Linked DNA regions of Arabidopsis thaliana. The protein of the gene in region 3 interacts with the protein of the main gene of each other region in a pairwise test. Each region holds a gene or a part of one and is shown on either strand. Other genes may lie near its edges.

Evidence for each region.
Region 1: the proteins of PDV1 (region 3) and PDV2 interact in a two-hybrid assay, tested with the Arabidopsis thaliana proteins (one study listed by BioGRID).
Region 2: the proteins of PDV1 (region 3) and ARC5 interact in a two-hybrid assay, tested with the Arabidopsis thaliana proteins (one study listed by BioGRID).

Annotation. Positions count from the first base shown.
Region 1 is NC_003071.7:6,981,609-6,991,112, forward strand, and holds PDV2 (plastid division2), read right to left. Parts: upstream 4,013-9,504; 5' UTR 3,749-4,012; coding exon 3,467-3,748; exon of another isoform or gene 3,384-3,466; intron 3,309-3,383; exon of another isoform or gene 3,139-3,308; coding exon of another isoform or gene 3,106-3,138; coding exon 2,464-3,105; 3' UTR 2,238-2,463; downstream 1-2,237. Other genes in the region: AT2G16050 (Cysteine/Histidine-rich C1 domain family protein), read left to right, coding at 49-331; HB1 (hemoglobin 1), read right to left, coding at 1,174-1,311, 1,409-1,525, 1,605-1,719, 1,802-1,914; ARI2 (RING/U-box superfamily protein), read right to left, coding at 5,759-5,916, 5,999-6,147, 6,223-6,771, 6,863-7,343, 7,415-7,700, 7,790-7,822, 8,089-8,214. UniProt on the Arabidopsis thaliana protein: Component of the plastid division machinery consisting in a binary fission accomplished by the simultaneous constriction of the FtsZ ring on the stromal side of the inner envelope membrane, and the ARC5/DRP5B ring on the cytosolic side of the outer envelope membrane.
Region 2 is NC_003074.8:6,848,067-6,860,890, forward strand, and holds ARC5 (P-loop containing nucleoside triphosphate hydrolases superfamily protein), read right to left. Parts: upstream 7,525-12,824; 5' UTR 7,324-7,524; coding exon 6,961-7,323; intron 6,800-6,960; coding exon 6,632-6,799; intron 6,537-6,631; coding exon 6,414-6,536; intron 6,338-6,413; coding exon 6,116-6,337; intron 6,040-6,115; coding exon 5,906-6,039; intron 5,815-5,905; coding exon 5,722-5,814; coding exon of another isoform or gene 5,707-5,721; intron 5,608-5,706; coding exon 5,544-5,607; intron 5,157-5,543; coding exon 5,108-5,156; coding exon of another isoform or gene 5,015-5,107; intron 4,825-5,014; coding exon 4,742-4,824; intron 4,509-4,741; coding exon 4,351-4,508; intron 4,207-4,350; coding exon 4,146-4,206; intron 3,835-4,145; coding exon 3,772-3,834; intron 3,685-3,771; coding exon 3,584-3,684; intron 3,480-3,583; coding exon 3,422-3,479; intron 3,316-3,421; coding exon 2,983-3,315; intron 2,887-2,982; coding exon 2,722-2,886; intron 2,621-2,721; coding exon 2,525-2,620; 3' UTR 2,292-2,524; downstream 1-2,291. Other genes in the region: BCAT4 (branched-chain aminotransferase4), read right to left, coding at 1-80, 267-398, 499-675, 1,046-1,223, 1,332-1,363; AT3G19740 (P-loop containing nucleoside triphosphate hydrolases superfamily protein), read right to left, coding at 7,878-7,985, 8,088-8,159, 8,254-8,313, 8,398-8,536, 8,616-8,800, 8,926-9,009, 9,237-9,359, 9,461-9,637 and 9 more. UniProt on the Arabidopsis thaliana protein: Mechanochemical GTPase component of both plastid and peroxisome division machinery. Required for the last steps of plastid division specifically in mesophyll-cell, when the narrow isthmus breaks, facilitating the separation of the daughter plastids.
Region 3 is NC_003076.8:21,602,279-21,611,770, forward strand, and holds PDV1 (plastid division1), read left to right. Parts: upstream 1-5,131; 5' UTR 5,132-5,307; coding exon 5,308-5,613; intron 5,614-6,289; coding exon 6,290-6,802; 3' UTR 6,803-7,150; downstream 7,151-9,492. Other genes in the region: AT5G53240 (hypothetical protein (DUF295)), read left to right, coding at 1-354; AGP22 (arabinogalactan protein 22), read left to right, coding at 1,437-1,554, 1,656-1,729; AT5G53260 (Seed maturation protein), read right to left, coding at 2,384-2,827, 3,310-3,396; AT5G53270 (Seed maturation protein), read right to left, coding at 3,993-4,472. UniProt on the Arabidopsis thaliana protein: Component of the plastid division machinery.

The DNA.
Region 1 (9,504 bases), on a different chromosome or scaffold from region 3:
GTTTTAAATCAGCTAAATATGTTTGTTTTTTTTGTCACAAAAATACAGGTCATCTTGCAAAAAGTACAATCTCCATGTCGCGTGTGTGAGAGAGATGTTGGTGGAGAATTGGCGAGAGCTGTACACAGGACAACATGGTAAAAGCATTGAACACAAGAGCCTGGTCTTAAAGAACACACTTGAGCATCACCACCGTAGCAGCCGCAAAGGTAAAGTTCAAAAATGCTGCGAGATCGCCGGTATAGCCGTGCAGTTTGTCATTTCCGCCGTACTCGGGGATCCAACGACCCTAATCGCGGGAGTTGTAGGCTCCCTTATTTCTCGAGGATGATTCCCCTTCAAAGTATTTCAGTTTGAGTGTTTAACCATCGTGTTATAAACTCTTAATTAGGAGCATGTGAAAGTTGATACATTAGAGTTTGATATCCTTTTAAGTTTCTTGTCCATAAACCAAAAACGTGTAATGTTGAAAAATAATAATAATTAATTACGTAAGACAGCTTAGTAAAGTCTATTTTAAGTGATTTAATTTGAACATTTAAACATTTTCGTACGAGTTACCAATTATATATTTCTAACTGAATATTTCACTCTGTTAATTTTTCTGTCAATTGACTTAACGACGTGCTTAAAACGACAAAATCAACAAAAGTTATATATTAATTCTAAAATCAATAACAAGTTTGGTATTTTAGTGGTATTTTGGAAGTTGGGGATTTAAACGTACCAAATTTAAAAGTTTATGATTTTTTTGACATTTTTTCAATTATATATTGAAGTGTTCTAAGATAAAATCATGAGCCTGGTAAAAAGTTTTTGTATCTTACCTTTTTTAGGTAGCTGTTTTTCTCTATTTTGCTCATCATTTCTTAAGATTTACAGGTTGTAAAAGGCCAAGACTTAGTGAGAATAAAACTGTTGGAAGTAATTATATTTATTTTAAAGTCTATCAAAAATATCATAATCTTAATACAATTTGTAAGAAACATTTTTTTTTTGGGCAAAACAATTAGTAAGAAACTTGTATTCAAAATGATTAGGATTTTGGAATGCACACTATATATATATTATTGTCACTAAATCAAACCAAACCAAATAGAACAACAGTCATGAGAACAATTCAAAATGAAATATTTATTACAAGTTTACAACTATATAATAGTATATGATTTTTTAGTTGGAAAGATTCATTTCAGCTTTAATGGCAGCAACAAGGTGATCATAAGCCTGACCCCAAGCCACCTTCATCTCCGGTGACCACATCTCCGGCACTGCCTCCTTTATCGTCTCCAACAATGCATACTTGGCCACCTGCAGTTATAAATCATTTTTACATCAACCAAAAAAAATCAAGTTAACATATTTGTATGATAAAGAACATTTTGAGATATGACAAATAACTACTAACCTCAAAGTGTTCGTCAACGACACCGTATTTAGAATGGCTGGCTCCAAGTCTCTTCAAAGTAGTCTCCCTCACCGTAACTTTCCCTGTTTTCCTCAGTTGTACTGCTGATTCACAACACTGATAATAAACCCCAAAACTCAACAATCTTTGATTCGAATATATAAGCAAAATCATGTTATTTGATATTGATTATTACCATGACAAAAACAGACATTGCGTGAGGCTTGAGCTTTGGATTTTGCTCAGCAGGAATTGGTGAGTCTCTCAAGAAAGAGAACATCTTCTTCGTTGTTGGTGCAATCTCAAAGATCCTACAGTTCAAAATAGTAGTTCATATCTCAGACTATATACATAAAAAGAAAATAGAGAGAGATCAATGGGATCATTACTTACTTGATGAAGAGTTTGAGACCTAATTCAGCTGAGTTTTTCTTCATGACACTCCAAGACTTCACTACAAGAGCCTCTTGCTCTTCTGTGAACACAATCTTTCCTTCACTCTCCATAATATTTCACAACCTCTAAATGATTTAAAGTATACAACTCTCTGTTTTGTAGATCTTACTCCAATTATGAAAAGTATCCTATATATAGGTTTTGATAAAAGACCCTTTTGTGTTACCGAAGAGACAGTTCTTGATAAGCAAGTTTAAGATAAAGTTGCTTGGTTAAAAAGTGAAACCATGTGCTCTGTACTGGTAATGGAACATAGTTTGTAATGGTAGGCTTGACCAATTATTAGTCAAAACACTAAAGAAAAGTCTTTTAGATCTCTTTATCTCATTAATTTACTTATTTATGTATTGGCCAACCACACCAAGTGGTATAAGTTGGGATACACTGAATCTATTGATCAAATTGGCAGAACAGAGATTATACTACTCAAATGAATCTCTCCCTCATCCAATTTATTTGCACAACTATGAACAAAACTTGTGAGAGTTATGTAGCACCATGTGGCTTTCATATCTAAGAGGTAAGAAAAGGTTGAAACTTTACACACTGAATGTCAGGCAATGAACATTACAGAGGAGGGTGTTTAATTTCTTTCAAACTCAACCGTATCCGTAAGTTACATCGCGTTTCGCTACAACAGAGTCAAATGGTATTTCGACTCTTTCCTTAACAAGGCACCGTGCTTCTCCATCTTCAATCACAAGAACTTTCCCTGGTGGACATTGGTTAGGTGTTCTCTTCCCTCTGGTAGCTCGGTGCGGGAGAAGTCCAAAAAGGTTCAAGGAAGCGCCTCTTTTCCTCATCTCTGGACCATATCCTGATGCAGACAATAGAGAGATAACACCGATGATTGGAAGCACGATCTTTGCGACAGAGCCTAAGAAGCGAATAACCCCATGACTCGAACCTCCAGATCCTCCGTTGGGACTTTTCGCCTCTGCCTCGTTCCTCACATGTCCTGAGCCGAACCCATTCGCATCCGATTTCTTCTTCGAAGGTAAGTGAGATAGGTAACCATTATTATTATCTAAACCAAGGGAGAGAGGAGGATGGACAGGATAAGGAGGAAGTAAAAGATCATTCTCATAATCAACTCTTTCACCAGCAAAAGTCGTAGTCTCACGTAACACTTCAAAATCTTTCCCTTTGTACTCCTTAAGCTTCTCAAGCAACATTTTCCTACTGTAATCAATCTCAGAGAGAGCCAGTTGCTTCTCATATTGTTGTCTTTGCCTTAGATTCTGTTCACCACAAACCAAAAACCATCCCCACATTAACCACCACCAAGACTTGAAGCAATTCAGACATTATAGACCAGACTTGAAGCAAAATTCAGACTCAGTTTCAGTTAAAACCAGAACCTAACACTTTCAATGTTCAATACTACACTAAAAGCCAGAAACTTGATGAGAAGCAGAGGAATTTTTTAGGGTTTGGTTCAAACCTGTAAAGAAGCAATTCAGACATTATAGACCAGACTTGAAGCAAATTCAGACTCAATTTCAGTTAAAACCAGAACCTAACACTTTCAATGTCCAATACTACACTAAAAGCCAGAAACTTGATGAGAAGCAGAGGAAATTTTTAGGGTTTGGTTCAAACCTGTAAAGAAGCAAGCTGAGACTCAAGAGCTTCAAGAGCATCACGAATACGCAAAAGCCGTTCAGCTTCTGCTTCATCTACATCCTCAGAGCTGATTGAGTCAAAATCCTTGTCTTGATTCCCAATAATCTCGCTTTTTCTTCCTTCTCCGGGAGAAAGATCCTCGTTTCCATCGCCGTTGTCGCTGACGGTGGTACTGGAGTTATCGATACAATCGCTGATCTTGAGTCTGAGCTCGGTGGCTCTGGCTAAAATTAACCCGATGCCTTCTTCGTCTTCCATCGCAGAGATTGAGGAAAAGAATTTGGGGGTGGAGAAATTAGGGTTAGGGTTTTTGTAAGGTAGTGGTGGTGGGGAAGAGAAGAGAGACAAGTAATTTGGAGTGTTTGGAGTGGATTTGTTTTGTGGTTGGCTTAACTCAGATTTTCAGATTTGTTTCTGCTGCTTTCCCGGTTTTAATCAACGGCCACAAAAAATCAACAAATTTTTATTGAATTTATTTAAATTTGGGGAAAAAATGAAAAAGAACCATAAGAAATTTGGAAGAGGCCAATTTTGGACTCTAACAAAGATGACAAATCTGACATATCATTCTACATAAATAAAATAAAAGAATCTGTGTACTAAAATATAGACTTCTATGTCAGAAAAAACGTAAATTTTAAGTTATTATTTTTTACCGTCTAGATTTATTATTTATTATAAATTATAAAAATTATCGTAGAATCGTTTTTGTAACAATTCTTTTTCTTTGAACTATGGTTAGCATTTTTTTGTTTGTCAACGCCGAAGTCAACTGATCGGTTTACCGGAATTGTATGTTCATAATATTAACCAGATGACGTCATATAGTTCATAAATATGGTCATGCAATACATGTACTTCGTGTAGCTCAAGATACAATATTATACTTGGTATATATGACAGCGTAATTCTCTATATTTCGTGTAGTTAGCCATCTTTTTTCCTTTTATAAAAGATAACAAAGTAATTGAAAATGAATATGTTTTTTCCTTTTTTGGCTCAACAACAATAATTATCATTAAACAACAGAGTTTTACAACTTGTCTAATTCCACAAACGATTTTACCCAATTTGGCACTATAGAATACAACTTAGGATCATAATTCTCAAGAGAAAGAGATTCCTTTGCTATCCTATCTGCCACTCCATTGCCTCCACGATGCATGAACACAAACTTTGTTTCCTCAAAATGCTGAAGCAAGAACTTGATGTCTTGTATAATAGGGTCCAGAGTAGGCATATCATCGTTATCAACAAGAATAGACACCAATTGTTGGGAATCAGATTCAAAGATTACCTTTCGGTAGTTGAGTCGAGAGAGTGACAACACCGCCCAACGCAACGCTTCAGCCTCAGTAACCAAGGCGGATTGAGCCTTTGGTATAGCCCTTGCACCCATCCAAAGCACGTTCTTGTCGGAGTTTCTAAGCACCCAGCAAATGCCACACTTGTTGCATTCTGCATTCCAAACTCCATCTGAGTTACACTTAACCCACCCATGTGGGAGTTGCTTCCACTTGATCACTTGCTTCTCAGAGCTCTCTATGAGAAATGTATATGTTTAAAATGAATATGTCTGAAAATGAATATTTTTAAAATGTAGTTTGAGATGGTTTAAAAATATTAGTTAGAAATATTTTAATTTAAAATAAGACATTAAAAGAAGTATTCAAGTTAAATTACATTAAAATTATTAAATAACACTAAAAATACATTATATTGATGAGAGACACAAAAGTGAACCAAAAATAATAAAATTATATTAGTGAGAGATTCAATAGGTATCTCACCAAACAAAATTTTTTAGGGGATGCATTCAATAAAAAAATTACAACCAGAAAAAGTGAAAAACTAAGGTTAGCCAATTTTTCAGATTGCGGGACACTCTCTCACCGTCACAACAAAAACCTCATACCATCTCAAATATATAACGCATATGTACAAGAGATTCATATCCATGAATTAGGTACGATCCACCTACGTTTAGTTAAAAATTTACACCTCGAGGCACTGAGAGAAGCCTGAGTTCATAGGCAGCTTCAAATATGATCCACTATAAGTCTATAACCATTATCCTATGTAAACTCCGAAACTGATTGAAATTTTGTAAGTAACGATGCTTGACCCCTTCTTTCAGAACTGAAGAGGGTTAGGTAAGGTCACTGACAAATTAAGCAGAGGGGATTGGGTTTAGAGCTATAAATATCCGGGTAACACACTTTATTTGGACAAAAAGGGTGTTATTGGGAGGTGAAGAAGGATAAGTGTTCATTTCCGCTCAATGGCTTCCGCTGGCAAGTTTAAATCTAGTAAGGTGGTTTGGCTGTTTCTGTAACTTTCGTCTATTCTAGCACGCTTCCCGGAAGAGCAACTTGTGTCTTCCGACTTCCCTGACTCCAAAGCTTGATCGAGCCTGGACGTCCATCCTGTATTAAAGAGTTTGCTTTGTAAGATTACCGGTAAGTCTCCAACCTAATGATGTGAAGTTTCAAGATTTACTGCTTGTACCACAATCCGAAGACTGACCAACAGCTTCCTTGGAATTCTGGGAACTATAAAAATCAGATGCTCGTTCTATGCCGTTTGATCTGTATGGAGTAATGTTGTGGATGCCAAGTTGCAGAGAACCCAACAAGTCATTCTCAATGCATTCATACCTGCAAAAAGCTTGACATGTCAGTTTCAATATAGGTTGTTAGCACTCTCTGATGTCTTTTAGATTATTAACTAACATATTTTCGCAGAGTGTATCGACCGCAACTGACAAATTGATGACTTGAATCCTTATCTGCATGACCTTATCATCAGCAAATTGATCAAAAGGTTCCTCCAAGAACTTAGAAAGTTTCTCAACATTAGCCTCAAGCTGCTGCTGCTGATCCTCAAACAGATTTTGTTTTATTTCTCTTTCCTCAGAGCTCATCTCATCTTTAAACAGCTCATCTCCAAACATGTAAAATGCGAAAGGGTATGAATATGAAAGAACTCGTCTTGATCTAAATAACCGATGGAGTCCATTGGTAGCCCAGCTGAAGTCTTTAAGTTGTAACTCCCTCTTTTCTGAAATAGACACCTTTTTACTAATATTATTACTAAGCTTAGCCTCTAGCTTGGAGGAGTCGATATGTGCTTTGTATCGGTTATGATAATGCATATACCGCTTGAGATCCCTTTTCGCTCTCTCCATTTGTTTCTCTTTATCTTCTTGGAACCGACCACAACTATGACCCGAGATTCTAGCCCAAGTGTGGTCCCTTCCAGTAGCTTCACCACACAACCAACTGTATAAAGTAATAACCAAACAAAAAGTTCATCACCACCTGATATAATGTTCACTAGAAAGCAGAGGAGAAACAAGGCTAAAATTCATACCAAAAAGATTGTCGACAAAGACAAGTCACGAGATTGCATCCACCATTCTTTTCAACAGGCTTGTGACATTTGGGACACGGCTTTGTGTGAACAGTTATCCAATTAACAGTCTCGGACTCATCAAAGCACTTCTTTCTCCATAGTTCCCACATCACACAAGAGCAAGGGGAGTGAGCTTGAGATGAACAACTGAAACAGAACTGCAAACCACAAGAGCATTCAACCTCACAGAGCTCGTCATCCTCAACACGTATGGCATTCCCACAATGAGGAGTACTCGGACACCACTTCACCATTTTGTTATCTTCGATATACGACTCAAGAAGAAAACGATCAAACTTCTCAGCTAAATCTGGTTGGCTTTTACTAACTAGAGCCCTGACAACATCTTCATCACAAATAGCATTACACTTATGAGCCATGCATATAATCCTTTTGCTCTGACCTTCATTTATCTTTACAGTAAAATGCCCAGTCCAACCTAAAACAACAAAACCATATTAACTAAACAACTTCATTTCAGGATATCATTAAGAAAAGGATGAGACTCACAGTTATTGCAAAAGCTATGGCCACAGTCCATCCTTGTCAGCTGATAACCCGGTACATCCTCTACGCAGATATCACAACTCATCATCGAAGAAGAACCAGAAACGGAAGAATCACAACTTTGGTTTTCAAGAAGTGTAACACCAGCACCAGAAAACAAGCTATCTTTCCCTTTCTCAACAAGAACAGCAAACAACTTCTCCACATCCCATCGGTAATGTATAAGAAGAGTCCGAGCATGGTGCTCCTTAACCGATAACAATTCCATCACTCTCCGCAAATCCTCCCTCTACATTGATTCAAAAACAGTTTAGCCTTCAAAATTGAAACTCCACAGTATATATGGATCAAAAGAAGAGTCATTGCTCTTTCACTAACCTGTGCAGCCAAAAGTGATTCCTTCGTAATAACCTACAAAATGCAGATTCACATTCATGCAAACATCAAACGCTTTTATTCTAATTGAACCAATGCCACTACTCTTCTAATCCTCTTCACAGCATTACAGAGATGAAATTTCACAGTATAACACAAAACCCTAATTTTAACTAGAGAACAACAGAGATCACAGAACTGATTTTTCAAATCAACATTTCAACTAAGTGATTCAATTTCACGAATTCGTTACAAAATTAACAAAATCCGAAAAAGAATCGAGAGAAATTTAGCTCAAAAACCTTGACAGTATTTGATCGGGAAGAAACAGGTATCGAAACGGATTCATCATTATCAATCCCGTTGAGAGATTCCTGATCGGAGGAGTAATAGTAATCTTCTTCCTCGCCGCTTAAATTATCATCCATGGATCAATTTTTAAACTGATCAGAATGAAATTGTCGACAAATGATATGATTGACGGAAGAGAGTATTATAGAACGACGGAGGTGATAAAGTACGAGAGTAATAACGAAGGAAGAGAACGATGACGGAGATTTTGAGACATGAAGGATGTGGGATGATATTTGCCGGCGAGATCAAAAGAGGAGTGTTAAAAGGACTGAATCAACCGGAGGAGAAGAGAAAGAGGACATCGTTATTTACGGACCAAACGGCACCGTTTTATATGAAATCACTTTTTTTATTTGAGTATCTAAACAGTTTTTTTTTTTTTTTTTTTTTTTTTGTCATCAGCATCTTATTGATTTATAAATCAGCAGTGTAGTCACAATGTACAGCATATGTTATTACATTAGGAACCCAGAAATGATTCAAGAATAAAGATTGGTTTTGAAGAGTACCTTTAGCAAAAATATCAGCTGGAGTATTGTGATGTCTTCTTATCCAATTGAAATGGATTGATTCAAACTTCCTTGACCACCAATGAATGTCCCGTATCCAGTTGTGAACGCCAAAATGTACCTTGGATCCGTTAATTAGGTCAAACAGCATGTTGTTATCTTCTTCAAAGCAAACCCGTTTGTAACCATGACTCCAACAGTGCTGCATTGAAATGATTAGCGCTTGAATTTCACTCTCCAGAGCATTGTCCACCTTTCTTCCTATAGCCTGCCCCGCCAGTAGATAACTTCCATTACTATCCCGAACAACCCAACCTGCTTTACTTTCTACATCACCATTAACGAATGAGCCATCAAAGTTGCATTTGATCCATCCTCTTCAGGTCGTCTCCATCTGTCATGGTTATCCTCCTCTCTCACCCCTCTGCTACGTGTATTTATTTGTGCTACTGTATTCGCCTCGGTATACTCATGAGCATCAGTTTGAGCAAGACGCAAAGTAATTTCCCAGGGAATATGTCTTCTTTGAAAATATAAAACGTTCCTGCTTTTCCAAATCCTCCATAGGATCCACAACGGTAGCTGATGGAATTGACTTGTCCGTGGTGAAAGAGCCATATGAAGTATAACACGTATTTTATTGACTTTTTTTAATGAAAATTTCATTATGAAAACTTGCCACATAGACTTCATAAAATAAATAATACATAATTAGTAATTAATTCAACATAACAACTAAAATAGGAGTTTTTGGACTCTAAATCCCTATTCCTCTGGCAGCTGGATTTGGAGGAAGCTTTGTAAACTGCGCCCTCTTGCTAGGCCCTTTCTTGTTTGTGAGATTGGTTCAGGGGA
Region 2 (12,824 bases), on a different chromosome or scaffold from region 3:
ATGCTCTTCACACCACCAGTTCCACTAGGAAAAGCTCGACGAAACTGATCTTCGATTTTCAGATTCAAACCAGAGTTATCCTATTCCAAACAAAAATCCGAAAATAATCAAATTTAACATAATGGTTTTCGTTAAACAACATAACCCTTTAATTTAAAACCAACTCTCAACAAGTAATTGATGCATGCATGTTATATTACGTACTTGGAATCCCTTATATTTTCATATGTGAACAATAAAAGAAAAACGACAAGAACACTAGTCACCTTATGATAACGTCCAACAGGACAGGCAAAAGCTGTGAAGGTGGTCTCAGGAATGGGAAATGAACCAAGAATCGGACCACTCCCAAACAAGATAGGCCTAATATACAATGTTCCTTTCCCCGGAGGAGGAATCTGCGTACATATATAAGAAAACCCCATTGATTATATCTTTCATTTTATAAGGTTTTATTATCTTGACGAATTCATACAACAATCAATATATATAATATACCCATTTCTTGTTGGCAAGAGCAACTTGTTTGATGGCGGAGACGAATTGATCGACCGAAGGATAAGGCATATAGAGTCTGTCAGCTCCGGCTTGAAGGCGGAGACCGTTTTGGTCTGGTCGGAATAGCAGAATCCGACCATCTTCTGTCCTGTAAGCTTTCAGTCCTTCATATAAACCCTAATCATTCCCAAACCACCATAAATATTCCAGTAAATTAGTATCAAACCATTACTTAAGAATTGTTGCGAAACTAGATCACATACAATGATTTGATAGGAATATCAATACTTTCATACTATTCGGTTCGTTGATATACATTAATACATATATGTACAACTATTTCATTTTTTCAATAGTTTATAGCTCAAATATGCATACAATATAGTTGCTAACTCAATAGTATACTATGTAATTATATTTATGATAATTAGCTCAATCATTTTATTATCAGTGAGAAAGCTATATATTCATGTGTTAATAGTTTTTTCTGTTTCATCTAATAACGATCTAGATTTATATTCATTCTTTTAAGTCATATATAACAAACCTGGCCATACTGAAGAACAGCAGCGCAAGGGTTAAGTTGCAAATCAGCAAAAGGAAGAATCTTCCCCTCTTGAAAACTCTCTCCATGATTGCACTTCGCAACATACATATAATCCGTACGAACAAACTTGAATGCCAACTCTTCCCACTTGACATTCGCATATTTTTCATCCGAAACACTGTAAATTTTGATAAATAAAAAAAAACAAAAAAAAGATCGCCAAATCATATTTCATACTATCAGATTTAAACAATATAATTTGTTCGACGATACAGAAATATTTTACCTCACAGGAAGAGGTTGCGCAGAAGGAGCCATGGATGTGTTTGTTCGAGTCGAGTTGCTTTGTTGTAAGTAGGTAATTGCAAGAAACTTGAGTTGTCTATAAAGCTTTGGAATACTTCTCTTTATATATACGTTTACAACAATTTTTTTTTTTTTTTTTTTTCTATTTTTACAACAAATTGTTTTTTATTATAATAATAAACTTAAACGAAAATAAATAATATCTCTTTGTTCTATTTCTTAAAAAAGAAATTAGCTTGTAGTACTTCAACGTATCTTAACTCTTTAGTCTTTAGTAGGTATATATCATCTATTTATTTATTTTTATTTTTTTTATATTACGATTATAGTGTACGTACGTATTTATTAATCAAAAATAACTTGGTAGAAGTAAAAAGAAAATGATTTTTTTTTTACTCAGTGATCAGTTTTACGTTTATTCAAAAATAAGTTGTAGTTTCCTTCTTAATATTCAAGTTATATGACTAAAAATTGGTCGGTTAATTTACTATTAAGATTAATCGGAAACTCTAGTTAGATCACGAGATAATCATCACGTGGAGAAACATTTGGTTCTTGTCACGTGGAGAAAACGTTAAGCTTATTTTTTACTTCTTTATTATATTTTTGAGGAAATGGTTGAAAGAAAGAGAGTGTTTAAAATGTGAATGCGCTCGTAGTTAGGTGGAGGTTAATGGGTAGGAGGGTAGGTCATATGTGTATTAGTGATGGATAAAAATTAAAAACATAAAAAAAACTTCAAGCTGTAAATAATCTAATAAAAGAACATAGAAATATAATCAAAGAACCATTTAACTAAATAAATACTTTCGATTCAAATAGCATATTTCTAAGTTCCAAGAATAGCTATCCTCTATCCACATGTTACATTTTTTTTTTCTTTTTCACATCCATATAGTTTTTAAAATAATTTTCTAGATGGTATTTTTTATTCGACATTTTTTTTTCCTTTTAGATTTACTGATTATAATTTATTTAGAAATAAATGATACGACTGTCGTTTCTACAAAACTGAAATTTGCAAACATTGGACCAAAAAGCGAAACCTTAATCACTTGAAACGACAACGTTCTTTAGTATGTTTTTGGACATACAAAGTACACATAAGATGTTCCCTCACTCTTCGATTGTTTCTTAACCTAATATAATTAAGCAATATTGAACTTGAGTCACTCAATGCTGCACCGAAGGAGCCTTTAGATTTTGAGCAAATTCATGAGAGTTTAGCTTCTCATTCATCACTCTGAATTTCTCTTTTATCCTCTTTATCTGTCCAAAACATGACACATAACATAATGTTAGTTCTCCTGCATACTTCCAATGGCAAATAGAAAAAAGAGACATTGATCATAGAAGTCAGTTTGGTTTACCCTTCTGAGCTCGATCTCTGTGCTCCGTTTCTTTTGATCAAGTGATTGCCGGAGATTCGTGATGTCGAAGATACTATCGAGGTCGTCTTCAAATGCGTTTTCCAACTCTTCCCGGAGAAGAGCAGGTAACTTATCAACGATGGGCATTAGAAGAAAACAGTTGAACTGCAGAACAAAAGAAAACACAGATACAAACTTTTTAAAAGAAAAGTCATTTTAAAAGCAAGAAGAATCTGAGTAAAAACTGAAGTAGGAGCAAACCTTTAACTCAGCAGAGGCGAGAAAGTACTCTCGTATGCCCTGGAATATCTGTTGGACCAATGCGTACACAATTCTCTCAGAGGAAGGAGCAAGCTTGCGGTTCCAAAGTGTGCTATCTAGAAGATCAGCCAACCGCATTTCTGTTGTCTGAATACTGGAACCTGAATCGATGTTTGAGGCGAGATGGCTTAGCTTTACATCTGATCTTGACTTGGTGTCTGTTGTGCCACCTAATGCATCTTGGGGAAGACTAAATCCTATGGCATTACCTGATGTCGTATTATGCTCTGTTCCACCAAATGAGTCCAAGAATTGACGTAGACCAGCTCGGTTCTACATAACATTGAGAAACGAAAACTACTCAATCAGAAACGGATACTTGATGGTATGTACACAACTCAATTGGATTGAAACAGAGCTATAGGGCTGTAGCAATGACCTTGTTGTGAAGAGACCATGTAACATAGCGAGTTGTACTTGCTAAATCCTCCATACATCTGCAAACAATATAAAATCCAAAGGGTGATCAATCACTAAAGCTCACTAGAACACAGGTAGGAGGCACCGACATGGTAAGAACAGGAATTGGAAATAGAATTACTTGTCACGACATGATTTTTCTGTGGACTCCACAAAACTGTTGAATGCTGAAGCAACCCGCTTGAGAAACACCTCATGCCCACTTAAATATTCACCTTCTTTCTATTCAAATTTAGAACATACATCAAAAAATTTGCTGGAAAGGGATCATGAGTATGATACCGTCAAACCAAAGAAAACAGTACCTACCTGAAGAAGATATACAGAAATTGGAAGCAATCTCTTGAGAATGTGTAGAAGCCTCGCCCCTAACTATATCAACGCAAAACAAACGAAAATGAGAACTGGAAAAAACTTTCTGTATGGAAAGAGAAACATGTGAATAACAAAATTTCAGATGAAAGTATTCCCAAACATAGTTTCTGTAAGCAGAACATGTTTACTCGATAACTCTTATGCACAAATAAGTTCCAGCAAATCTCAAAACTGAATGGTAGTATGATTTCAATATATAACGTTATATTTCATTTTTTTTTTTACGTACAGTACACCTTAACTAATTAGTAAAATTGCTTTCCATCCTCCACGAAAGAAAAAGAAAAAAGTAGCTATATCTATGTCACCTGATGAAGGAAAGGTTCAAACGTCTCACGAGCCTTCGCAACTGCTATAACACAAGCTGTTCTACAACAGCAAATAAGAGAAAGAGAATAAGAGGCCATAGAAAACATGACAAACGTTGCAGCTCAGATTAGATACTGAAAGGGGTCTGGGATGCAAAGACAATAAATTGAGAAGTGTGTTGCATGTCAGTCAATCCTATGATACCTGGAATAGTTTGTTCCATCATGAATATCCTCAACTCCACATGCATTTACAATTTCCTCCCTCGTTATTGGGGGACATTTGATAGCACCAACTAGAAAACGAAACTCAGCCATGGCACGGTGATATTGTGCACCCCCATAGAGACGCATCCCTGCATTCTGTAAAATGAAAGATAATCTGGTTATGGTCTCTCATAATTCTTGAAGGTCCAACGAAGTATCTCTTTTATTTGTTTCCAATACATTATTCTTTGGCACATATGTTTCATGCGGTCAAATTTATCTTCCATCATATTATAATCCATGTACAAGAACAAGACAACTGGATTTGAAGACCATGCCCAGCTTGCTCTATAAAGTCCAACAATATTCTGCTTCAGGGAAAGACTTACCGGTATTAGCTTATGTGAAAACTGGAGACCATCAGTACCAACAAATGCTCCTCCTTGTGTCCTTTCATCTTGCAGTGTCTCACCTGAAAAACACCATGAGAAATTATTAACAATCAAAGAACCCAACATAAAGAGAATGCTGTTATAAAATGTGCTTCTGCCAGTAACCAAAGTATCATGACCAATGATTGATTGATTAGCATACATCATTCCATGTGTAATCATCGCAGTCTGGTGACCCAGTCGAATTGAACAATATGCATTTAACTAAACTGATTTTGCAAAAGTCCAATTTAACAACACCCAGAAACAAGAAAAGTTTATGCCAAAGAAGTTGACTAGCAGAGAACAGAGCAGTAACATTACCAAATTTATCTGGAGGGGCCACAACTGTTCCCTTCAATAACAGCGATAACTGATCAAGAAAAATATAAACAAAACAGGTGAGAAAACACAGCACTGATCAATACTAACAAAGGTACTTCGTACGTCAATCAGAAAATATGACGCAGCAATTTTAAAGTCTTAAGGGCATCCAACACAAAAAGTTTACAGCCATTCTGAATTTGTAGCAAGTCCTAGATATCATTTACTGTAGCATAATTTTATATGTGTCAGTAATCAATAAACAAATTTGTTTTTATGTGTCAGTAGTTAATAAACCAAAAAAAAAGAGAAGTTTACACAAATGAACTTGTTGTAATTATACAAAAACTATTAATCCACGAGTCCAGGCAAAAATGAAAAGGTATGGGAAGGTGTAAATAGAAATCTAAAAAAACGAAATGCTCTCTACAGTTACCTTGGTTAAGAAGAGATCATGGAAAGTCCTGCCTCTCTCTTTGAGTTTTGCTTCATCCAAAGAGCTGCATTGAAAGGAATTATTCAACCTCCAATGAGTTATATTTTCTATAAATCAGTAGCTAACAATTAAACTGCCTAAAATCAAGTAGACATTTTCAGACAAAACAAATTGCGACCTAAGTTCCTTGCTCACGGTATCCAGCTTTCTGACTGTACTGCGGTACTCCTTTCCTAACAGTGGAATGATCAATGGAACACTCTCTTTGTACCTGGAAAGAGAAGGGCATCAAGACTACAGCGAAAAGTAAACTACAATAGAAACAGAGGCTGGAAAAATCAGAGTTAAAACAACAGTTATACCTTTTCCAGAGTAGTTCTTCCAGAAACAACCTCAGTTTACTGATGCCAATCCTACTCTTTTCCTGTTTTGTCAGTAAACGGCCCAACTTCTTCTCTAAAGATGCAATGTCTTCCATTTCTCTAAGTGACACAGCCTGTAATAAAAACCACACATAGTTTAGAAAAAGACCTGTTTAACTTGTTTAAGGAATCAGACAGCAGAGCAGAGACCTGTTTGAACTCGTCATTAGACTTATACACTGAATCCTGTCCATAGCCAACTCTTCCAGAAGGCACAGACGTGAAAAAAGGAGAATCGCCCAATAAGGAGCTGTCAAGTGCGCTTGCAGGAGGTGAGAGAAAGACTTCCACGTCAGATGAACATGAGAATTGAGGGATTTTAGTGTCAAGCTTTGTAGAAACAACAATTGTCCTAGAAAGCTCAGGATCAACCTACATGAACGAGAAACAAACTTTAACAAAAATAAAGACAAGGTTAGACGCAATGGAGTTACGTCAAGCAACGTACTTGCATCACTATCCTTCGAGTGGTTGCAATGCTCCAGTCACTGCTATCTTCGAGGCATAAAATGATGAACTCTTTGTGTTGCATCTTTGCTCGGACTAGAGCTTCCACAGCCCGTGCTTGAACCTAAGAAAAAGAACAAGTAACCCACTCTCAAATAAAGCAAAACCAAAACATGAAATCAGCCACGGAATTGGCTGGAAGCCATAAGAAAAAACAACCTGAAGAGCTCGGTTTTTCAGTCCTGGTGCAGGAGCAATAAGTCCAGGTGTATCAATGATGGTAAGGTTTGGACAATACTTATACTGGACTTTCACAATAATCTCCTTTGCAGAGAATGGGCTACATGGCTCTTGCTCCAGCCTCATGTTCTCAGCCTCAATATATGCCTAACTCCAAATCATATAACAAATTTCGTTAACATGAGCATTTCGCTTCTCTACAATAAACCTAAGTACTTGTGTTTCTCAACATTCGTCAAAATCTTCCCAGAATTTATACGCAGAAACAAGCAATTGAAGAAGCACAAGTAATAATAATAACAAAACACCTGAATTTGTGAGAGAGATTTGGGAAGAGAAACGGAAGGATCATCATCAGATCCGAGATGACAAAGCGGGAATTGACACTGAGGATCGTACTTCATATGGAGAGTAATCGGCCGACGAGTCTTGGTTCCGCCGCCGACATGGTTAAATTGAAACCCCATAAGAGCTTCCACAAGCGCACTTTTACCGTCGGTCTGCTGTCCCACCACAAGAACCGCCGGTGCTTCGAACGGCGTCTCCAATTCCTGCGCCAAAGCGTGTAACTCGTTGTAAGCTTCGTAAAGACTCCACCGCTCCTCAATCGCAGCGTCGTCCTCTTCCGCCATTTCCTCAACCGTCACCGATTTTGCTGATACTTCCGCCATCGTCTCTTACGAAAATGAGCAAGAGGAAGAGTAAGAGTAAGAGAGTGTCTCTTATTTCTTCTACTCTTTAGTTTTCGTCGCCGTTCCTTTTTCCGCCATGGAATTAGCAGATACGGCTAATTTCAATTTTTGTCAAAAGAAATATTTTTTGTGTTTTAATCTCACGCGCATCCATGGCGCGTTGAGTCAACGTTGTAATAGTTCTCCGCTAAATTTAAATAAAAGAGCGCGTAAGGAGAGAGTTTAAGGATTTTTTTTTTTTGGTCGGCAAATACAAAGGATTTGCTTTGTCTTGACCAATAGTATATGCAGAAATATTATCTCAAAGGATTTGTGATAACTATGTAGTACAGAATTGTGATTATTGGATGAGAAACCAGAAATATTTTGAGCAAATGACGACTTGTTAATTTACTATTTTTTCATTTCTTAAAGGTCTCTCTTGTGTAACTATGATTAAAATTGAAATAGTGACTTTTATTGTTACGACATGGAACAAATCAACGAGTTCTATTGTTAAAGAGAGACATTGATGAATGTAACAAAACTGTGGCTTAGAAGCCGAAAGGAGACTTAGTTCGGGTCCCTCCTTCACCGTATTGCTCGTTCCATTTTCTCAATTCGTTCATTGTCGTCGCGTCGTATGCCACTGACGGACTTACCTGCAAATTACATTACAATGACGCAATTTCGATAATGCAAACACCAGGGGAAAAAACATGAATAGAGATGATGATGATGTTTTTTAAGAGATTGATCAATACCTTAGCTTTGGATTGAATGAAGTCGTCCAAACTCAGTGGTCGTAGATCAGGGGACGCATTTGTTACCGAGTCCTGATAATTCGACGTTTCAAAAGCATGGAGTGAGTACAAAAATTATTTTTCGTAACAACAGAAATCAACTGTGTGGGTTTATGCATGTCCTTACCTTGTTTTCTTCTTGTAACAATTCTTGAACAGGTCTGTATGCAGCTGCTATGCATAGATTCTGCAATGTAAGAAAAGAAAAGGAATCAGAACTACTGTGTTGAATCATACTCGAACTTGTAAATGAAACCCCGAATGACCAAACCTTTAGATCGCTTCCTGAATATCCTTCGGTTTCCTTTGCAAGTTTATCAAACTCGAAACCAGTTTCAAGATTTTCTGGTGTCAGAAATATCTTCAATATCTTCAACCGGTTTTCCGCATCTGGTAAATCCACATATATCCTATAAACACAAGCCTCAATACAATTATCGAAAAGATACAAATATTCCAAAGGAGAAATTACTTGAAAGCTTAAATTACCGTCTTGGTAGCCTACGAATGACAGCGTCATCAAGATCAAAAGGTCGGTTGGTGGCACCGAGAATGAGAATCCTTTGGCTATCTTTTGATCTGAGTCCATCCCAAGCTGCCATAAACTCATTTCTCATTCTTCGTGTTGCCTCGTGCTCAAAAGCACCACCACGAGCACCCAACAAACTGTCAACCTATACGACAACAAAATAAATTACAGTTAGTCCTTGAGTAACACATTTTACGCATCACAAAAGTATTCCTCATAAAAAGCAATAACCGAAATTGAAAAGTGATATAAAGCTAAACAATTTCTCACCTCATCAACAAATATAATGACGGGGGCTAGTTTGCTTGCAAAAGAGAACAAAGCCTTCGTGAGCTTCTCTGCATCTCCAAACCACTGTGCCAAACAATGGACGAAATTGACTTAAATCAGAACCAATCAGAGGTAAAGTTGGAAAGAGATTTACTCTAAGTTACAATCGGCATTGACAATAATAAGTCGATGACCGGGGTGGAAAAGTTTTTCTTATGTCATTAGATATTCTCCTTATTTATATGAAGATGTTTACAAAGTGGAATATCAACGTGACAGTGCAAACAACATAGTTTTAAGGTTCCATGTACCTTTGAGGTAAGCGTTGAGCCAGTTATGCTAATGAAGTTTGCCCCAGCTTCTGTTGCAAGCGCCTTGGCAAGCAGCGTTTTACCCGTACCCGGAGGACCAAAAAGCAATATGCCTTTACATGGCTGGAAAAAACAAAGACACACGCATTCAAGAAAACCCAGACGAGAAAATTCCAAGTCCATAGTCAAGAACATAATGACATGTATATAACAGAATGTAATACCCGCAAGAGATTTCCACGGGTGAAAAGCTCTGGCCTTCTCATGGGAAGAATAACTAACTCATTTAGTGTCTTTTTCACATGTTCAAGAGCACCAATGTCGTCAAACTTTACCCCAATTTCTCCAGGAGCAACCACGGCTGAGACAAAATTGGTTTCAAACTCATCCTTCGCAATATTCTGCAAAAACAAAAATCTCTTTTTAACATAATTATTACTCAGAGTTTTCAGCAGCCAATTGCCAGACTACCAGAGGGGGGAAGAAACTAAACCTTCAAGTTTTGTGTGGGCTTTCGAGAAATATCTTCTTGTGCCTTTAACCTTTTAACTGAAATCTCAATGCTTCAAAAGAGGAAGACAATAGTAAGATATAAGAAAATCAAAGATAAATCATAGACCCCAAAGATCAATCAACAACCATGCCATTACCTTTCACGGGGGAGAATCAGGCGGCCCTCTTTAATCGATGGGCTAGGACAAGAAGATAAATAGTGGTTTCTGGCCCAACCGATAACTTTCTCCGCTCCTGCAGAAACAAAATAAACAAGTTTCTGAGCTCTCTTGGTCACAATATAAGTAATTGGGGTTTCATCACAGAAAGCAAGAACTAAAATTAAATGATTAATCATATAGGAGATGACCGATATCAAGGTCAATCACATGGAACTGCATCCTATTTCATGTAATACTAGCAACAAATGAGATACATAACATACAGTTAAGGCATGCTTGATATCCTCAATCAGCAACTTTAACATACTTAACAATGCTAAGACATAACGAGTAATAACATACATAATAAACCAGGTATTTCATAGGAGTTACACACTTTGCTTTGTCAATATCACGCCATCGGTGTTCACTTGGTACAAGTCAGTGCACAATAACTCGTTTTCCTCAAGCGCCTGGGTTAAAAGTTCTCAAAGTGTTACAATGGTTATGATAACATCGCAAATTGACTCCATTTCTCTAACGGAATTCAGTCTATGTCTATGTACCTTAAGTAGCTCATTTAAATTGCTCCGTGACATCACAATTCTTCTATCTTCTCCAAGTTGTTTGTTGAATACTATGAGGTTCTCTTCTTCCTGCACAAAATTAGAAAAGAAGAATACAGGTACAACATTGATAAGCAAGAAGTGCTGAACAAATAATTTTCAAGAAGACGATAGCAGCATGAGCTATGTAGGCATTTGCATCCCAGATATTGATTGCAGATGAATTTAACATTTTCCAAAAGGAGACTCTGAAGGAAGTTTGCATATATTTTCTCATATTTCAAAGTCAGAAGTTTTCAAATAGCTTTCCTACTTTCTCCTAATGTCGGTAACGTAAGAGGAATTAGCAGAAATATTTTCTCAATAGACATTATTAGATTCGAAACCAGTCTAAGTCTATATGCAATGTCACATAAATATGAAAAAACACATCAATGCAATTCTCATCGGTTATCCAAAACCATGAACGGAAGTTATTAAAGTCAATAGGCATACCTTAGGAGGGACTAGGTTCATAACATTAGTGAAGAGCTTGTATATCTCATTATCCTCTGATGTTTTCCTTCCCGTGAGTCCCTCAGTGAGACGCTTCAACGGAAGGGGCTGTAAGACACAACAGCATCTATGATAAATATTTTGGAGTGTAGTGGCTGGAATTTATCAAATGCAGACCAATAAATGGATGTACTATAATGTCAAGAAAGTGAAGCAAAGTATGCAAATCCACATTCAGAGTCTTGCACATATGAAGCTAGTTTTACCAAAAGTATCAAAATGCGACTGATACAAAGTCAGGACTATATGCATGTTCAAGATGTTGAATAAATTGAGTTGGTGTGCATACGAGACCAAAAGTTTTAAAAAATTACCACAATAGATAAGTACTAAGACTATCAATTAACGTTACTTTTAAGTTTAGCTATCATACCAGTTTCGCAAGACGGCCAAAGTTTGGGAGTATCATCGTCTGTTCACAAACAAAAAAGGTCAAAAAATGAAAGCAAACAAAAAGAAGAGCCAATGAACAATGACACGTGAGAAAGGCTTACAAATTTCTCTCTCTCTTTTGAGCCTGTTTCAATCTTGTTTCGTCCACAGATCATTACAACAGGACTTGACAATTTATCAAACATTTCCTGAACTTTGTCTACAAACTCATTTTGTTTTGACTTAGGTACAGCTCGAGACAACCACTGGGACGAGTCGGGAAAATAGACAATAAGTGGTTGTGTGGAGTGTAAAACCTACAAGAACAAAAAAAAGAAAGAATAAATTAACGCCATTTCATGTTGTATGTTCCTTGGAGAAAGTGTAAGCTAACCGCATTCAAAGTCAAGCTACTCTAGACTTCAAATCTTAGGGAAATGATATCATAAATTTCCAGCCCAAGAACGCAGCATACGCTGAACAATCCATATATGTTAAGTTTCAAATCAAACTAAATATCATGAGCACTTACTACTGCTGGATAAATGATCAGATCTGAACTTATATATAAGGCCAATGTACAACGTTAGCTGAATGGAAACACGAAAACATAATGTAACTTCCACACATACCTCACTTAAAGCCTCCAAGGCGATATAGCCATCTTCTGCCTGCATATCCAAATCATGCTTTAGGTCTCCAACTGCGCAGACAATATGTAAGTTAGCTGCATTTACATAAGATGTCAATCGTCTACAAACAGGGTATTTCTCCAAATATAGAGCAATCACACATCAACCATACAGAACGCCATGAATTAAATATACCATCTATCCAGTGCATATGTAGCTTATGAGAGTGTTCTGTTGATTTCTTGTCACCTCCCTCTGATGATGTATCACCTCCAATGTCAAATATGACTGCAACACGATTCCCATTCACCTCATAGACCTCTCCACGTTGTCCACTAGATAATGGCCTGTAGGTATAGAAATTTTGGTTAAAGACAAACCCTAGGGCATTTACAATCCTTCATCCATAATATTTAGCATGCCATGGAAGTTTATAACTTCCAGAGCAATGAGTTCAAAATGTGTTCCTAAAAGATCAAATGTTACATTTGCAGGCATGTCAAATTGCTGAGAAAACCATGGATAGTGATGATAATGGTAAGCACGCAAAAACAAGTCATTTAGTTAAGCAAAGGTAATGCGAGTTGCACTGTTCACAAATAAATGAATAAGTCCTATAGATAACAATTGTGGCAGCAGTTTCATACACATCCAATCCTATACCAGAACTACTCAAATTACTACTAATATGAATAGGCAGAGCAAGCAGAGATCAAGTCAAATAATATGAGACAGAGTCATAAAAGATATTAGAGCGTAATATTCTTCAGCAAGGTTAGAGAATAATTATCACACAAGTGAATCAGTAAA
Region 3 (9,492 bases):
GGAGAAACTTTCTTAGTTAAGTGGTACAGGAGAACCCCCGCCAAGCCCATCAAGGGTATGGCGACGATGATAACAAAAGCTCTTCATGTGTTCAAGCTAGACAAAAAAGGAAACGCTGTCTACACTCAAGACATCGGAGATCTCTGCATTTTCCTCTCAAAGTCTGAACCTTTCTGTGTTCCTGCTAGCTCCTTTCCTCAGGGCCTGCACTCTCTCCAGGCCATGCGCTCTAACCACGTCTACATATTGGACGTCGACGAATTCGGACTTGTCGAGCTGGTTGATTCTTCCATAGCTAGCGTGAATTGCACATTGAAGGTCCCTTTTTATATTCCACCTCAAAATATAAACTAGTATTAAGTTTGGAATTGAGGTCTGTCTTTTCTCTTAAACCTTTCAAATATCAAATCTACTTTTATATATCTTGTAAGTGAAGGAAATTATATTTTAGCAAACATATCTAAGATATTCACATCACTTATAGCACTGTCTCTTTGCTGCTATATCATAGCTTAGTTCTTTCTCTTATAGCACTGTCTCTAGCTGCTAGACTCATTGGCTTTAGTTTTTGCTGAAATAAACTCGTATTTTTAGAATAAATGATTTGTCGAGACCACAACATCACGACCAAGCAATGTGACAATAGGGTCTTGTGGTGCATTTAGGTTCAGGGCATATGTTCTTATCCCCAGCTGCTATATACATTCTGAAATACATTGATATCAACACAATTGGCCACTAACAATAGGGTCTTCGCAGATAAACAAGAAACGCAAAAGAGTAGAGATAGTAAGAACAAGACCTTAGAACTAGAGAATAGTGAGCCTAAGGACATGTCAATTAGTCTTCACTTACATGGCAGATGATGACTTGAGCAGGCTGATTCGAGGTTCTTCTCTTTTTTTATTGCAAACTCTAAATTGTAGAAATTAAAAACACAAAACGGGGCCAGAGTCTTTGTTAATGGAGTGTTTTTAGTGAATGTTTAGTTCGGTTTAGCTCTAAACCAAGTTATTACAACTCTCATAATGAAATTAGGGACGGATACAATGATCATCCAGAAAAAGGAAAATTGCAAAAACAGGAAAGTAAATCAAAACCAGGCTGGAGATTCTCTTTTCTTTAATCCTTCTCAGACACAGCTTAGAAACAGAACATAATTAACCGTTTCTCTCGTTAAAACCTCTAATTTAATAATAAAATCTTTAATTAATATAATGACAACGCACCAACCAACTAGTGATTAGAGTTTGAGACAGAGAGGATTTGTGTATTATGGCCCCACATTCTCTGTGCCATGTTTTACTATTTAACCAACTCTTTAGCTTCCTCTGCTCTTCCATCAATCGGTCTTTTTTCCTTGATTTTTCTGGTGAGATTCTACAAAACCAAAAGATTCCTTCGCCGGAATAATCACCGGAGATAAAGATAAAGGAATGGCGTCCCTGAAATTTCCGTTGGAGATTCTCGCCGTCTTCGTCATCATCTCCGTGATTCTTTTGCCGATTGCTCAATCTCATTCTTCTTCGCCAGCTCCCGCACCCACCAGCGATGGTATTAATCTTAGGATAAATCTTTCATTAGAGCCAATTTTGTTTTTAAAACCCTATCTTGGAGGACAAGAAATTGATATTGATTTGTTTTTTTTTTGGCAGGAACATCGATAGATCAGGGGATAGCGTATGTTCTAATGATGGTGGCTTTGGCGTTGACTTATTTCATTCATTGACGTGATGGATCCGATCTATTTGTTCTTCCTCCATAATGGTTTGTCTTTCGTAGTGTTGTGTTACAATTCTTTTCTTTTTGGGTTTGTGACGTGAGATTTGTAGAAAATCATATTAGGTTTTGGTCCTCATGCTTTGTTCTGTTTTTGTTGGTTGCATTATTCGTGTACCTTTTTTTCTTTCTTGTGTAATGGAAAAGCGTAATTATAATAATTATTATTCAAGGAAAAAAAAAGCACCGTTATTTTTGCTATCATTTGGAGGGCATTCTCTGGCTGCTAGTTGCTGAGACCATGTCATGATTCATGCCGCATTTCACCTTGAGATGAATGTCTTCCTTTGTAAAATCAATTTGAGGCGATTCCAAAATCGCAACTGCCATCGACAATCTCCTCTTTGACGAGGCCTGTCTTTGAATCACTCTCTCAAACAAGGTTTAAAATAAGGGTTCAAGATTTAACCTCTTTTGGAGGAACCACCGAAATTTCACCACTAGATGTATGGGCTATAGTGATGATGAACTTAGAAGTTTAAAACATCTTGAATAAATAAACTTAAAGTATATTCACCCACTTGTTTAGAGTCTTTAGTGATTATTTATACAACAAAAACCAAGACCGTTATATGATATATGATTTTAAATAAATAGAAAGTGATCAAAGAGACGATGGATCGTGATTAAGTTTATAAGCTGCAGCGACGGATTCAGCAACACCTCCAGGAATAATATTATTGAAAGGAGAATGATTCAGCTCAGCCCGAATCACTGCTTCTGCGTCTTCACTTGTCACTTCTCTGTCCCTCGTTACTTTCACATCAATCTCCGCGATAACGTCGCCGAGATTTGTCTTCTCATTATCTTTTCCTATTTTTTGGTTACGAGCAACCGCCTTACTTGCTACAGCAGTTACACCACCTTCACTTTCTATATCGCCTCCGATAGCCCTTGTTTCCACCTCTTTTATGGCAGCCACGTCGGTGGTTTCAACTGGTTTGTGGCCGACATTCATGGATGCTGCTTTAAGAGCCTCCGTTAATGTCGTTGACCTCCCGATAAGTGCTTCCGCTGCGGTGGAAATCTCTTCTGTTGGGCCTACAAACTTTTTCAAAACGTTTCACATCATTCGGTATTATATTGTGGTCACAATTGTTCAAAACCAGTATGTGTTTTTACGTTTTTCGTTATTTCATATTTGCGTTTTACGTTGCGTTAACATGAGAAAGTGAGACTACAAAATAAAAATTCAACATAAATTTTTTTTGAAAGAAGTATATCAAACAAAATATTAATTTCCTTTGTGTTTTCAACACCATGCAGTGTACGGATTTAACTTTACACAGCCATAATAATTAACTACAAAGTTGGGCCAAGTTAATATTCACAATCTTTCTTCGTCCAAGCCAACTCTTGATGATACTCATTTTGAATGTAAAATAATCCACTTTAAGCGTGTACTAGAAGAAACATCCTTTCAAAATGATCAAATCTACCGCCACTAGTCTACCACTACCACACGCTTGTTAGTTGGTTATTATGCATTAAATATAAACGTAGTACAAAGAAAGAACCCAAAATCTATACCTGTCCACCGGGGCTAGACTGAGAGACGCTAAAGTGCTCCTCCACGGAGATGTTGGTGACACTAGCACTATCTTTTGATGAACCCATCGTTTTAGACTTCTTCTTTCTTTGCTTCCATGTTCTTTTTCTTTCCTTAGTTTAAATACGAAAACGGAATGTGGCGATAATAACGGTTCCGTACAGTTTCATTTGACACGTAGGCTTTTAACAGTGTAACGTGTCCATATTTAGCTGCTTGTGAGACAGTGACCCTTAAATGCATCGGCGAGACTATGTATTAAACATTTAGAGTAGCGTGGTGAGTTTAAGAAATATTGGAAGAAAGGACCTTTCATAACCCTTTTATGCAAATTTCCATATACTATTCTTTTTTTTTAAGGTATGTTGATCTCTTTTAACGACTTGCATGTTTTTGACGTTTGTCAAAACTCAAAAGTAATAAAATGGAGTTCCATGGTTGGATTTTGGGATTTAAATTTGTTCTTTAATGATTATTTATGCAACAAAATCTTATAGGCTTCCAATGCCTATATAAGGTGGATCAAAAACTGATCTCGGTAAAAAAGACAGTACAAAACTTCGGTTCGAAACTTCCTACTCTAAAAGAAAACAAAACAAAAAATACAAAAATCACGACCGTTATTATATACTTATTGTGATAAATATGTAAATTGCAATTGATATCAAAGAGATACATTGCATGGATTGCAATTAAGTTTATAAGCTGCAGTGACGGATTCAGCAACACCTCCAGGAATAATATTATTGAAAGGAGAATGATTCAGCTCAGCCCGAATCACTGCTTCTGCGTCTTCACTTGTCACTTCTCTATCTCTCGTTACTTTCACATCAATCTCCGCGATAACGTCGCCGAGATTTGTCTTCTCATTATCTTCTCCTATTTTTTGGTTACGAGCAACCGCTTTACTTGCTACAGCGGTTACACCACCATCGCTTTCTATATCACCTCCTATAGCCCTAGCTTCCACCTCTTTTATGGCAGCCAAGTCGGTGGTTTCTACCGGTTTACGGCCGACATTTATCGCCGCTGCTTTGAGTGCTTCTGTCAATGTCGTTGACCTCCCGACTAGCGCTTCAGCCGCCGTGGAAATTTGTTCTGTTGTGCCTGCATACTGTTTCAAAAGGCCGAACCCGAACATCATACGATATCAACATGGTCACGTAAAATATTTCAAGTTAAAAGTTTTTTTACATTTTATCACCGCGGTAGAAGTTATACAATTCCTACTATGAGCTAGCAATCGGTAAAACGGTAAATTAAAGGGAACACCAACAAAACGGTACAAAATCTTTACCAATCTATGTTTTACCGCACTTGCTTACTTCTTTTAACTGTTCTGTTATCGTAAACGATTTTTCTTTTAATCGTGGCTAATTTTTCATTTTAACCTATTACCTGACCACAAGTAGTAGATTGGGAGAGGCTAAAGTGCTCCTCTACAGAGATATTGTGAAACTAGCACCATCTTTTGATGAACCCATCGTTTTAGAGTTCTTTGATCTTCTTTCTCTGCTTTGCATTATCTAATACACTTTCTGTTTTGTGTAAATTGATAAATAAGTAAACGGAAGTGCCGACAAAAAAAAAGAAAAAAAAAAAAAAAAACGGAAGATGACAATAGTAACGGTTCCGTAACAATTTACATTTGACACGTCGGCTTTCAACAGTCCACGTGTACAATACTTGTCTACGTATGCCGTTATGCGACCGTGACTCTTCGATGCATAAGAGAGACCAATTACTTTTTGGGCCTCAGAAGCTTCGTAGAGCCCAAACATTCTACCAAGCTTTGAGACACGTGCATAGTCCGTGCCAGCTGTTTCTTGTTTTAGTATTTCCGGGTCGGGTTTCACCCGTATCCGGAAATCAAATTCATCGGAGCGCTTAATTTGAGTCCACAATTAAAGTGAGAATTTTCCTGAAGAAGAAGAACTTTTGCTTTTTTTCTGGGTTTGCTTTTTTGTTGTGTCAATGAAATGGGAGAAATGGAGATCGAAGAAATCGAAGCTGTTCTTGAGAAAATCTGGGATCTACATGACAAGCTTAGCGATGAGATTCACTTGATTTCGAAGTCTCACTTTCTCAAATCGGTTAAACCTTCAAATAGATCGGAGAAGAGAAAGAATCCTCACGGAAATTCCGGCGAAGATAAGCGACCTGGTTATGTTTTCATCAAAGGATTCGCCGTCGATGATAACGACTCCACGATTCAGGAGGCGAAGAGTCTTAACGCAATTCGAACCGCTCTTGAGAACCTTGAAGACCAGCTCGAGTTTTTCCATGTAAGTCTCGTGTTTCTCCGATTGATTTTGTGGTTTTCGCTTCCTTGATATGAAGCGAAATTGGGAGATTAGCTTGTTATCTCCTTTGTTTTGTGCTAATTTTTGAAGATTGTTAAGCAAATCCTTCTACTAGATGACTATTCAAGTCCGAAATAGGTTGTATCTGCTTCTGAAGAAAGTGACTCATGATTAAGCCGATTTGAGGCAATTTAGGGTAAAAATTGATTGAGGTGTGTTTAGTTAGGGTTTAGATTTACGAATTAGGAATTTAGGTTCTGAACTGGATAGTAATTATCAGATTCTTACGAAAATTCTGAGCAACAATTTTAGACAGAAAATCATCATACAATGTAGTTCTGAGAGCATTGTTTATTGCAAACTCTTTGATCATGGAATTAAAGCAGGGAGAGGAATCTAGATTCAGGTGTTGTATGTGCATGAAGAATGATATGGTCTTATTTAAGATCAGAAGAAGTAGAGATAGATAAGCAGAATCCATTTCGCAATACATTATAGACGCATGTGTTTTATCATTGCCATAGATAATAGACCAACGAAGAAGAATATACAAGCTATTTTGCATATACACTCATTGGTTCTGGTCAGTCGCATATGTCTCGTTTACTATCTGAACCTGAAAGACAAGATGTAAAACTTCTTTCTCTTTGCTCTGCAGACTATACATACACAGCAGCGAACAGAGAAAGATGTTGCGATTGCTCGGCTTGAACAGAGCAGGATATTACTAGCAATGAGATTAGCTGAACACCACGGCAAGAACTATGGAGTCCTAGAGGAAGCTCTTGCATTTGTTGGGAGCATTAAATCCAACTCGCATTACGTTTCACCTGATCACCTCTACGATTCCTCTCGAAACCCAGACGGAGCAAACTCTATTCCAGATGGAATAGAGTCAAACTTTGTAATCAACGCCTTTGCCTCGACTTTCGGGTTTGCCAAGAGAGCACTTGGATTCAACCATGTGAAAGGCGTACTTGGAAACGCTGCTATATTTGCCATAAGCGTGGTCGCTATGCTACATCTTCACCAAGTGGCTACTAGTGAACATCATCTGCAGAAGAAAGAAGACAGATTCTACAGAAGCCAACAAAGGAAAACATACGGAAGAGATAAGTCTTCAGCTGACAGAAGTTTGGATCACTTGGACGTAATGATGGCTCGTGGTTAAGACCAGAGATCGAACTTGTCTACACGTGAGAAAACTAAAGAAGAGAAGAGATAATTGTTGCTCTCATAGGTTTCGATATTATCAGCAAAAGGATAAGAATTTGGAGGCAAAGTGTTGGAATTTTCTGAGCTCGTCTGATGCAAATATTGTTCCTTTCTTCTAATTTTGATTTTCAAACACTGTGGTTAATGTTTTGTTTGTTTTGTTTGGTTTTGTTGATTTCAAATGTGGTTAGGCTTTCTTGTAAATCACAAGATCTCTCGGCTATTCTTTAGTAGCAACTGGCAAATTCAGATTGATGAATGTATTGGGCCACTATCAGCCCATTCGCACCCCAGAACTATCCAGCCTTAGTTTGCTCAATCTTAGGCCCTTTTACTTTTGATGACAAATCACTCTAAACCGTAATAATTTGGTCCGGAAACAATATACAAAATACAGTACGAATACTGAAGAGGTTTATCGTCTAGTTTTTGTTATTCAAATTGAAGAAAGATAACGTTTTCTCGAAATTTTATGAGTTATATGACTTGTATACGTAGTTTAATATCAACTTTTTTTTATTCTTTCTTTGTTTCTACAAAGCCTGAATATCTATAAAGTATAAGGGTGTCAAAGCGGGAGAGTTTGTCCGGTGTATGTGAATTGTGATGTGAACAAAGCAAAGACAAGTGGGAGGACAAGTTATCAAGATGATAAAGGGGAAACTACAATGAGTCCAAATTGGTAGAATGAAGGAAACATGAATGTGAATATTACAAAATACTTTTCCTTAAGATCTGTTTTGTCTCTCTTTTTCTTTTGCTTTTGTACACATAGCTTTTTCTCTACACACTCTTAACGTTATAAATGGCTTCTTCTTTTTCTTCTATCTTTGTGTGCTGTCTTCTTTATTTTTATTGTGTAAACATATGTTTTTCAATGTGATTAGACATATATAAATACTATAACTTACGGATTGTGTTAGCATTTTGTAGGACCCGGTTCGCATTTTGGGAAATGTCAGCCCGCCGACCCCGGTTTTCCTCCGTAAATAGGTCAACCCAATGTTTTTTCTCTGTCTACAATGGCTAAGACCGCAAACAAAATACTTTTTCACATTTCGATTATGATTGATTGATAATGCTACATAATATTACAAAATACATGATAAAATAAATCTATAGGTCATAACTTCGAAATCAATACAAATGAGGAAACTCAACTTACGATTTTAAAAGAACTTTTGTCACTTCACAAATATGGTTTCATATGAGAATTTGCTAGTAGCTTTTCTTTCTCTCCTTGTTTTACGATAGGAAACTGAAAACTATTTTTTTCTAGTGAAACTATTTTTAGTCAAGCAAGAAATAGTAATGATAACCAAAGTCATACTTGTAAACCCACAACGTAATCATATATTGTGTTTTATCTTTTTTAATCCTTCTGTTTTAACTGCTTCAAGAAGATAAGCAAATGATCGCTCGTGGTAGTTTAATAAATGGGGATAATGGAAAATATTATAATTAGATATTCATTATCGAATGTTGATTATAGATTAAAAAGAAAAGGTTGGACCAAATAATAATTATGAAATAGCGAAGGTGCTCCATAATGATGCGACAAAAAGCTGATGTTAACGGGTAGAAAGTGTTTTGCCACCTTCTAAATAATTATTAACAGATGGGTCACATAATTTATTATTTCATATCTTTCTTCTTTTATAAGATTTTTAGTATGAATAGCAACAGTACGTGAATCTTTACGCAGACCACCAACTAGTATTTGATTCATCTTAGCGGTTAAATGTCATCAGCCTATAGCTTCATTCTCTAATTATCCAATAAATTATGAATGCTAATATTTTCATTAAATTAATTCATTTTCATTTCGCAGTTTTTACAATCCTACTTACCACAACGTTTCACTTATACAACGTTTTAATTTATTCTCAAGTCCGCGATTTTCATTTTCGGTCGAGATTTGATCCACAACTTGATTTTTTCTTCCAAAATTTCAAGTAGAGATAAGATCATAGTGGTTTCAAATTTGTACTATTACGTAAACATTTAAAGTAACAATCTCTATGAATCATCAGATGCCTTTTAAGCATTGGACAGCTATAATTTGATCCCATACTCCGACCAACAAATTTAAACCATTAAAGGTTTTTTTTGGTCTTCATTTGACGAAAAAACAAAAAGCTTCACGCCACGTCTCGCTATAATAACGAACCTAAATACTGACGTGGATGGTTAAATAGGACACGTGGTTCTGCACAGATGGGCTTTTTAAATTACTAAGAATCATGTGATTGTCCACTATAAAATGCAGGGCCCATAACCACATCACGTGACCTTGTACTCTCGTTGTCTCTCAACATTCTTCTTTCTTCTCTTCTTTTTTTCTTTCTTACAAGAATTAAGAAAAAACTTAGTTTAATTAAATATCTAAATTTTTACGTAAACATTCTAAATAATTTAAAATTCGATAATAATGTTAGTTCAAAGGTTAAGTTTTAAATTCCAAATTTTAATTTCAAACTCTAAAAATTATCTCTATAATGATATCGTGATTTTTGAAGAGTTTATTAGTTAAATGAAGCTCTCATCATTCTCAATTTCACTGTTCAGGATTTTACAGACTGAAATATAAACCATATGAAAATGAGATTATTCGAAAACGCGAACATATTACTTTGACAATATTCT